Linked DNA regions of Danio rerio. The protein of the gene in region 2 interacts with the protein of the main gene of each other region in a pairwise test. Links are inferred from orthologs where the notes say so. Each region holds a gene or a part of one and is shown on either strand. Other genes may lie near its edges.

The links.
Region 1: the proteins of fip1l1b (region 2) and cpsf4 interact in binary tests that used the Homo sapiens proteins (3 or more experiments, as listed by UniProt). The two-hybrid records come from large-scale screens. The link is inferred for Danio rerio from reciprocal best matches to the Homo sapiens genes FIP1L1 and CPSF4.

Annotation. Positions count from the first base shown.
Region 1 is NC_133178.1:39,238,854-39,244,748, reverse strand, and holds the end of cpsf4 (cleavage and polyadenylation specificity factor subunit 4), read right to left. Parts: intron 5,716-5,895; coding exon 5,622-5,715; intron 5,519-5,621; coding exon 5,446-5,518; intron 2,731-5,445; coding exon of another isoform or gene 2,728-2,730; coding exon 2,554-2,727; intron 2,464-2,553; coding exon 2,395-2,463; 3' UTR 1,634-2,394; downstream 1-1,633. UniProt on the Homo sapiens protein: Component of the cleavage and polyadenylation specificity factor (CPSF) complex that play a key role in pre-mRNA 3'-end formation, recognizing the AAUAAA signal sequence and interacting with poly(A) polymerase and other factors to bring about cleavage and poly(A) addition.
Region 2 is NC_133176.1:15,785,458-15,790,608, reverse strand, and holds the end of fip1l1b (pre-mRNA 3'-end-processing factor FIP1), read right to left. Parts: coding exon 5,100-5,151; intron 2,748-5,099; coding exon 2,586-2,747; intron 2,323-2,585; coding exon 2,181-2,322; 3' UTR 2,007-2,180; downstream 1-2,006.

The sequences.
Region 1 (5,895 bases), on a different chromosome or scaffold from region 2:
TGACGTGATGGGTAATTTTTTTTTTTTGGTGAACTCGCTATGTACTGGAGTTTGACTACTCGAGATGAATGTCTTAAATTAAATTGGTTGTATTTAAGATTTTACTCAAGTGTTTAGTATGATTTCTTTGAGGGGATATTTCAGGGGTGTCAAACTCAATTCCTGGAGGGTCGAAGCCCTGCACAGTTTAGTTCCAATCCTGCTCCAACACACTTACCTGTAGGTTTCAAACAAGCCTGAAGGACTCAATTAGTTTGATCAGGTGTGTTTAATTAGGGTTGGAACTAAACTGTGCAGAGCTGCGGCCCTTTTGGAACTGAGTTTGACACCTGTGGTATATTTGCACAATGTTTTAGGGCAGGGGTGGCCAACCCTGTTCCTGGAGAGCCACCTTCCTGCAGATTTCAGTTGCTACCCATATCAAACACACCTGAACCAATTAATAAGGACCTGAACACCACGTGATAATTACAGGCAGGTGTGCTTGATATGGGATGCAACTGAAATCTGCAGGAAGATGGCTTTCCAGGAACGGTTGGCCACCTCTGTTTTAGGGCCTTAAAATGCTAAGTTTGAACTGATTTCAAATAGTTATGTTTAATATTTTTATATAAAACTCCATTCAAACACTGCATAAGGGCAAAACTGATACACTATTGTCTTTATGTATGTTGCAAAAGTGCTATATTATCACATTGTGCAAATGTGTATTACGTACTAGACGGCTGAAACAAGAAAGGTGGAGTTATAAATGAAGAGTTCAGATGCGAAAACCTCAATGCCATCCGTTTATCTTCAGTTATTTCACTTTAAAGGCAATATAAAGAACTTATTTGTCACTGTAAAAGAGAAATTACTGAGCCTACACACAGGAGTCGAAGAGAGATGCTAATTTTAGAAGAAAATATGAAATGGCTTTTAGAGGTTTTTGCATTTAAATATATATATAGTTTTACTAGATTACCAGACAATTACTAGATTACTTTTAACATTGCAAATATCCCAAAGAAAAACTAGTATAAAGTTCATCATTGTCATGTAAATATACACAGATTTTAAAACACAATTCAATATGTTGCAAAAAGGCTTTGACAGGGTTCATACACATTTTACTACTAAAATTCAATGACTTTTCCAGTACTTTCAAGCAAATTGTCATGACCTAATGTTTCATGTAATGTCTACGTATATGTGGTAAATAATAGAAAAAAAGATCCATGTTTAAAGTTTTTACAGCATACCACAAAACATGCAACAATCTATTTAGTTTAAATGAATCTTTACATCTTTGTAAAATGTATTTAGATAATGTTCACACAGCACTAACAACGTGAGAGCATGCGTTTGACCATGGATGTAAAAGAAGTAAAGACAACTAACCCATATTTAAGTTTACAGACAGTTGTTAAACTAATTTCCATGACTTTTCCAAAACTTTGTTGGTTTTTCAATTTTTCCAAAACTTTTCCAGGCCTAAAAATGCCATGTCAAAATTCCATGACTCTTGAACCCTATGAACACTATGTTTTAGGTGATGAAATGGTCTTACATTTGTGAAGCACCAACATCTGAAGAAGTGACCATCTAGCAAATTTTCATACTATTGAATATAGATAAAAACAAGACCATGGTCTCATAAATCCAGATAATCTTTATTGTAAGTACAACCCAAACATCTGTTTTAAATGTAATTTATATAAACAAGCCATTTTGATGCTGCAAAACGGTGCTCTTCAATTTCAGATCACACTGGCTGCTATTGCCAAAAGTTCCCCAAAAGACTTTCATATATTTTGCTTTATCACTTTAAAATGTAAAGGGATAGTTCACCAAAGAAGAACATTCTGCCATCATTTACTTTCCCTTGTTCAAAATCTATTTCAATTTCTTTCTTCTGTTAAACACAAAATAAGATATTTTGAGAAATGTTAGTTGTTGACATCCTCTTCCATAGTAATTTTTTCCCTACTATGGAAGGAAATGGGTGACAGCAACCAAAATTCTTTAAAATATCTCCTTTTGTGTTCAACATTTGAAATAAACAAAAAAACATGCAGGTTATTGTCATTTTTGGGTGAACTATCCCTTTAAGCATTCAAAAAATCTTCCAGCTCTAAATAAAATAGCAGAGATTCACGTTTCAAAGCATGAAATCGGGTATGTAAGGTTTCATGTGAAAGAAAAACAAAACTCAATATAAAAATCTTTTACTGATGTGTTCTACCTGTTGAAAGTGTTATGTGACTGTGATGCGCTTGGCATACGTGATGGTGGTGAGGTAGAGCCACATTTATGTCACTCAACTACACCCTTCTCAGTGAGAGGGTAATGTACCAGGAATCGAATACCTCACGTGATGACCACATTTATTGGAGATCCTTTTTACAGAAAGCTTCACTGTCCACTCAAAAACGCCAGGTGTCCTTTTGTGCATTTGTTTGCGTAATGGCCCTTTTCACCACACTGCAAGAAACGAGCAGACGTTGAATGTGGTCGCACAATTTTGAGGGAGAGGGTGTGTATTTTATGCATGAAATCAAACAGAGCCTTTACCTTGTAACATGTAACTTGGTCCAGCGGGCGAGGGCCACGAGCTCCACCCATGTGGCTGTTAGAGTGCACTATCCCTACAGCGTTTGGAATTCTCTGGTGGTTGTTGTTGCTGATGTTGGGGTTGGTTAACTGGATGAGTGACTGTGATGACCTGTTCATGGGCTGCATGTTTTGCTGCTGGAGAATCAAATTAACATGATAGGTTTTTGTAATATATAATAATGAATTATTATTTATAAGTAGGGCCAGACGGAATCTGCGGACACTTTTGCTATTTCTGCGCAGAATAGGGTATATGCTGAAGCATGCTAACAGGACTTTTAATTTGCCAGTAACCTGGGTTCAACTCTTCCGGTGAACTTTATGTCAATGGAAAACCGGCGCATTTAAGGTCTGTTTTCTTTAAAAATCAGCTATCTCCACTGGCTGAGTGATATCCGATATAAAATGGGTCTCAGATTGTACAAGAAGCACCGCATTAAATTACATTTCCCCCCGCCATGTCTTTATAAAATGAGCATTTATTTTACCCCAGTATATTGAATGGAGCTTCTGCGCTAACCTGCCGATTCTGACGGGCGCGTGCGGGCAAACGGCTTTTTGTCTCGTTTTACACTTGAGCATCTAAATGAATACCAAAGTCTGTTTAACTGATTGTATTTTGATTATATAACAACATTGATGCTATGAAAGGAAAAAATAAAACAGAAAAAAACAGCTCACCGGAAGTTTATCAGCATGGCAAGAACACTAGCTCGGCATATACCCTACTTTGGTAAAAATCTGCGGATTTATGCCAAATTATTTTGGGATTATCTTAAATAAAACCTTAATACATGCAATAAAAAGTAATACATTTTTAACTTGTATTTAATGTTTACAATGCAGATCCAGTTAGATTCACTTTATTTAGTAAACATAACAAGTCTATCATATATCTACTAAAAAACAGAAAATGTTACTTCACAAACTGTTTTGTAAATAAGTCATATAAATATTTTCAGATTAGTCAATAAAATTGTAATTAATTTAAAAACTGAATAAATATGAATTTACACACATTTACACAAGTAATTAAACAGAACCAATGATGGGCTAAAAATCTGCGGAATTCTGTGTGCGCAGATTCTGTGTGGGCCTATTTATAAACATAATATATATATATAAATAATTATTTTAAGTTCATGATTGTTTATTATCTTTAAAGCGATGCTCCACTTTTTTTTGTAAAAAGGCTCATTTTACAAGTCGCCCAGAGTTGAACAGTTTGAATCCATTCAGCCGTTCTAGGAGTCTGGTAGGAGCACTTTTAGCTAGTGGTGGGCAAAGCAAGGCTTCATGAAACACTGAAACAGTCGAAGCTTCGAAATGTTTCAAAACCCCACTCTACAGTGACACCTAGTAGTATTTTTTTTGTATTGCTTGTATTGTACTTCAGCAAAGAACAGTTGAGCATATTGAGGTATTAAACCCCACTTTGTAGAATTGAAGCTTGAACCTTCAAGTAATTTAGTGGAGCGGAGAGAGTTTCTGATTAGCATGCAGGGATAGTGGGTTTGAATCCCAGCTGATACAGCTATTTTGAAATGCTTAATATCAGTTTGAAATGCTTTGTTCTTGTATCGTTTTGTTTCAACATTGGTTTGATATCCGAATAAACACTTTGTGAATAAATATGTCTTGTTTTGGTCATAAAACAGGGTTGTTGCTAGATCAGACATGGTTGTGGCCAGAAGTTAAAAAGGATTATTTATAGTATTCATTAAGTTTCCCATTTATTGTATTTTATTAACGACTACCCAATTCCTAAACCCAACCATCACAGTACTGTACAAATATTAATTATTCTTATAAAGTAAAAATATTAATTATTCTTATAAAGTATTAATTATTCTTACAAAAATTATGTTGAAGTGATGCCATTTCCGCAGCTGTATCCTATCTAGACTACACCATAAAACAGTAACATTATTAAAATATGTAAAATCTGAATTTCGGAGTATTTGTTCAAGTCGGGATTCGAACCCAAAAGCCATTTGAAGCACAGTGACAACATGCACACGCACAGTCCACTAGGCTATTGGAGACAGAATTTTTTCAGACCCTGTCAGTCAAATGCAGATTCGTCAGGTCTCGAAACGCTTCTGACATGATCGATGCTTTGAATCGCTTTAGTCACGTGACCAGGTTTTTCTAAACACTTTAGTCACGTGACCAGGGTGTTTCGGATCATGCTTCGGTGCAGTGTTTGAAACACTTGCGCTTTGGAATCTCGACACTGTCTTGAAACGTTAGTTTCACATAAGCCATCTCTACTTTTAGCTTAGTTTAGCAAAAATCATTGAATTGGAATAGACCATTACCATCTTGCTCATAAAAAAAATTCATAGTTACATTGTGTACTAAGACCAACAGAAAATGAAAAGTTGCTACTATCTTGGATAGTATGGCTAGGGACTATACTCTCATTCTGGTGTAATAATCAAGGAACTTGTTGTCGAGCTGTCATAGCATGGCACAAAGATTTTACATACCATAATATCAAAATTTAGACCATGTGGGAGTGAGAAGCTAATGGTCTAATCCGATTCAATGATCTATGCTAAGCTAAGCTAAATGGTACAATTGAACTGTTTAATGCTAGGAGGATTGAAAAATGAGTCTATTTTCAAAAGGGCCCTCCCATTTCTTATTTGATGGCTTCTGAAGAAGGACAATAACAATCAATACAATCCTAAAAAACTGAATCAAGTCCCACCCAAAAACCTTCTTCTCATTTGAGAGACCAATTCAGAAGGCATGTTTATATCACAGTAAAGAAGAAAAGATGATTATAATCTATATTTCATGGCAACTAAAACATTTTGTGGAAAAAAAAAAAAGATTAAAAACCTTTTGCTGAGTCTGTACTTGTTGTGGCAGTGGTGGCTGTTCAGTCGCACCCATCGGAAGTTCAAATCTTGGGCTAGAAAATGCAAAATGAAAATTCAAATGATTATAATTGATACAAAACTGTTTAATAAAATTACATATATGAATATGCATAAAATACAATCACGGTTACTCACTGCATAAATTTGCATGACTTGCCCTCTGGACAAAAGCCAACCAGGTAATTTACACAAATGACTCTTCTAGTGTGTCTGTGCCTGCAATCCGGACCTAAAGGAAGATGAGGTAAAATGATCTTATTGTGTTACCAATTTTGAAATAATCTTTCATTCAATACTAGGTATGTTTATGTAATGTAACTTTCTTTTAAATATTAATTTAAACATTCATTAAACTATGAGATCCTAGCTTGATCTAACAAAACTGTGTGTAATATATGTTGATGTAATC
Region 2 (5,151 bases):
GCCCCTGATTTTGAAAAGAAGCAATCACACTAAAATCTTAATGGTTATAGACAGATTTTACAACATATGACAGAAAATTTATAAAAGAGCTTTATACCCTCAGGGCGGAGGTAAAAGAGTGAGATGCAGGACTGCCACACTCGAGAACTCTTTTATATCCCCATCAGCTATCACACTTTTAAACGGATAACCAGTGAACAAAACGGTTTCATTTTCTGCTCAGTAGCACACTATTCTCCATCCAATTTGCACTATTAATGCATACAATTACACTCAATCTGCTCCGGCCATTATAATGTTGTTTGTTTGCGCATAAGCCAATTGCACTAGGCACTTTTTGCACAATTTTAAGAACTGCTTTACATTGTTTACATTACTCATTATTATATATTGTTTACATTAATAGATGTTTATATATTTACATTTCATAATTATACTTTCGCCACTTCTCTTTCTGTGTGTGTGTGTGTGTATATATATATATATATATATATATATATATATATATATATATATATATATATATATATATATATATGCATGTATGTATGTGTGTATTTATGCGTGTATGATATGTGTATGACTTCACTGTGGACGGCAAAGTAAGAATTTCATTGTACAGGGACACATGTTTCCTTACTTTGCACATGACAATAAACAAATTGAATTGATTAATAATATATTAGTACAGGCTTCTTGGCATTGGTTGGGGCCCCCTAATTCGCTTGGGGCCCAAAACGTCTGCTTACCTCGCTTAATGGTTAAGTCAACCGCTGCTCATTAATAAAGTTTATACTAGAGTACAGTAGATATAAATAGTATGCTTTTGTATTTCAGTGTAATTCATTAAAGAGCTATGTAAATATTGCCCTTTTATCCATAATTGCAAATGTATTGTTTAGTACTTAATGTGTTGTAGTTTACTTGTTAGGTAGCAAACTTAATAAATAATACACATTGTATTTCATACGCTATTATACACCACCGTTCAAATGTTTGGCCTTATTTATTATTTTTAATATAAAATATTTTCCACCAGTAATTTTTTTGCACTAAAAATAATGGATTAAATAGATAAAAAAAGGCAAATAATTCCTTTTAAAAATGTTCTTTTAACTATTCTATTCATCAATAAATCATTAATAATAATAAAAATATTGACCAGTGTTCAACTTGATAATAAGAACAGCTTTTAAGCACAGAATAATAGGTATTATATTTCTGTAGAATCACATAACACACTGAAGGCTGGGGTAATGTCTGCTTGACCCAAAAATAACCCAAAAGTTATTTCAAAGAACACCTAATTTACCTCTTTCACAAGCTGTAAAATAAGCCTTTGATGTTTCCACAATGTGTCTGTAAAGTGTCAGCTCAAAATACCCATCAGATTATTTATTATAGCCCCAGAATCTGCCCATTTTGATGTCTGAATACAGTGTAGCTGTTTTTGTAGCCTGTGGCTTTAAATGTAAATGAGCTGCTTCTCCCTGCCCCGCCCAGTTCTCATCATGCATTACGTCAGATAAACAGACTCAGATAAAGCTGAAATACAGCTCATTAGTCAAAAATACCAAGCAAATTTGATGTGTTTGTGGAGTTTATTCAAGCCTTTCTGACATGATGAGTCTCACATCATCGCTGATTGCAGTACACACACATATTAGTGTCTACTAACCTTATTATTAGTTTAATAACCATTTTAAACTTGCAAAAAATCAAAGGGAGTTGTACAAAATTTTAATTCCAGTTTATTTGCTAAACAAATGTTCGGTGGACATGTGGTCCACATCAGGAAATTTGATCACTCCAATATGACTGTGGACACACTATAATTACACAGTTCTGTCCAAACAGCTCACAATAGCTGATTTTCATCATATGTGCCTTTTAAATCCTAAAAGAATTCCATAACACTGTTTAATTCTATTATATGCAGCCTTGGTAGGGTCTGATAACAACTGTGAACGTTTTTAATAACAATAATAAACACACAAGACCCAACAAACATTACCAAATGCTCTTTTTTTAATCCAACAAATCAACATCTACATGTTACAACTGCACTGGGAAAAACCAACAGAACAAAAAAAAGGGCAACGTGAAAACGAACAGAAGGTAAACTGGATTACAGCTTCGTTTATCATGATTTGGTTGCGGTGACAGAAGGCGAGCAGGAGTTACTCCATGGCCTCCTGGTTCTCCTGGTCAGCGGATCGCTCCTCGCTGGGCTCTTTGCCCTCTTTGCTCCTCTTGGACTTCTTGTGTTTGTGGCGCCGGTGACTGTCTCCCTCCTCGCTCTCATGTCTCCGTCTGCTACTGCTGTGACAGAACAGGAGAAGATCACAGAGGAGAAAAGATCTTAAAGGGGATACATGGTAGATTTACTTGTGCATTAATAAGTCATTTGGGCCTTGCCCAGTTTTTTAGGCTGTTTAAGTGTATATAAAGAAACTCAAACCACTTGTAGACGAGTAAATGGAAAAACAATTGATTAACCAAATCATAAAAACACAGATTTTGGGTCATTTGTGTTAGGTTGGTTGAGCTTTAGTGTATCCTGATTTGAGAGCGTGGTACAGTACCTCCGTGATGACTTGTGCCTGCCCTCCTCTTTCTCTCTGTGTCTCCTCTCTCTGTGGCGCTCCTCTTTCTCCCGGCTCGCTCGCTCCCGATGCCTCTCATATCCTCGGTCTCCATAGTCACGGTAAGAGCGGTAGCGCTCTTCATCGCTGCACATGGCCATGCTTTAAAATCAATCACAATGTAAACAACTGCTCCATAAAAACATCCTGAATAGAAGAACGTTGAGTCACTGATCAGTCATGTATAGTAAGATGACAACTTAAATCTCTTAAGCGAGACACTGTAGGCAAAAACAATCCACGCATCTGTCAGTGTTTAAGATTTAGGCCTTTTTGTCAATTGATTTTCAGGCTAAATGACAATTAAACATTTTTCTAAAACTGAGAATTGCCATAAAGAGATTCTCAAAAAAGTTGCCAAATAAAATTATCAGACTTCCAATGCTTTAGGTGCTAGAAGTGCATGGAAATGAACACATATTTCATGAAATAATAATTCATTTGTATTTAAACATTCATCCATTCATTTTCTTTTCGGCCCAGTCCCTTTATTAATCTGGGGTCACCACAGCGGAATGAACCGCCAACTTATTCAGCACGTGTTTTACGCAGCAGATGCCCTTCCAGCCGCAACCCAACACTCTTGCACACACACATACACTACGGCCAATTTAGCTTATTCAATTTACCTGTACTGCATGTCTTTGGACTGTAGGGGAAACCAGAGGAAACCCACAAGAACACGGGAAGAACATGCACTGTTTAAACATGCACCTATAAAATAATCTGTGTTCCATGCATCTGTCAATGTTTAATCTTTTGGGCTTTTTATAAATGAAGTCTAATTAAAAATAATAATGATGAAATAATCCATGTTCTATATTTCTAAGCAAATTCAAATGAGCTTTATTGGTATGACTTGCACAGTATTGCTGAAGCAGTTATATAATACATAGAACAAGTCAAGAATATATCAGTAATAGGTACATGCACATTATATACATAGTAAATAAATACAAGTAAATAAAAATTCTAACAACAAGAGATAAATAATAATAAAATAAAAACAAATCAATAAAAATGTTAAGATAATGGTAATAATTATCAGGATATAAACAGGAAATGCTCTTGCTATAGGTTTGTCCATTGGCTGAGAGATTGAGGCAGGCTGACACATATTTGGCTGCTGTTGGGATCATTGTTGAATTTTCACCTAAAATATATGGTCATTTTCCTGAATTTGATAATGCCATAAAATTTGGATAAATTAGCTTGAATCTTTAAAAAAAATATAGAACTCTAATGTGGCGATGGTGATCACAGTGAAGTAGAAAATGTCCTACTGTTTCCAGCTCTCTCTCTGTGAACATAATCCTGGGGTCTCCATCTCTGTTGGTGTCTATTTTTAATCTATAAAAATGCTAAAATCTATAATCTAAATTGTCAAGTTTTTTTTATATTTATACACGTAACTTGGTGAATTATAAACACCATTTTGCAGTATAAAAATTGTGAATTTTCTTATTTTTCTTCTGGCTGTTTGCACTGTTTTCTCAATAATGTAGCAATAGAGATTTCCAAAATCCACTCTATAAAATTAAATGACTAATATAAAAAAAAATCATTAAATTTAATCTGACTTAGAATGCTTTATGTGCTAGACCTGCATTAGCAGATATTTAATGAAATATTGGCTGATTTTGATATTTAAACACACCCCTTTAAAACATATCAAATCACAGTTTCCCATGCATCTGTCAATGTATAAGATTCTGGGCTTTCAGAGTCAGTCTAATGTTAAAAAAATGATTATATAATCCCTATTCTCTCCGGCGCCAGTGGTGTAGTGGTTAGTGCATCCACCCATGCACTCCGGTGCTCACAGCGACCCCAGTTCCATTCCCGCCTTGCGGTCCTATGCCAATCCTTCCCTCTCTCTGCTCCCCATGCTTTCTTGTCAATACTCTCTACTGTCCTATACAATAAAGGTGAAAACCCCTGAAAAAATAATTACAATCCCTATTTTCTGTTAATCAATTAAAAAGATCTAATCTATAATATTAATCTCTAAAACATAACTTTATGAAACATACAAAACATAAGTTTAAACATAACTTGCTTGATAATGTACACCATTTTATTGTACAAGCAATGTTGAAAGTGATTTTTTTTCTGGCTGTTTGCTCTATTTTCTGAATAATGAAGCAATAAAGAGATTTTTAAAATCCACTATTGAAATGAACTGACTAATATGAAAGAAAAAAATAATAATTAAACCTGACTTCCAATGCTTTATGTGCTAGAACTGCATGCAAATTAGAACATAATTAATGAAATAATGGCTCATTTCCATATTTAACATACCCCTTTTTAAACTAAATGTTTGCAGTTCTACATAATGTAATCAATCAACAGGCAAATATTAGTTAATTGTTTTACCTTATTCACCTACAGTGTCTTGCTTTTAATATCCAATACTATGCAAAAATCACATTCATTAGCATCATCTTTCACCTGTTATAAGGCCCTGCGTTGGGGCTGTGGTCTCTCTCGTGGCCGCGGTCTC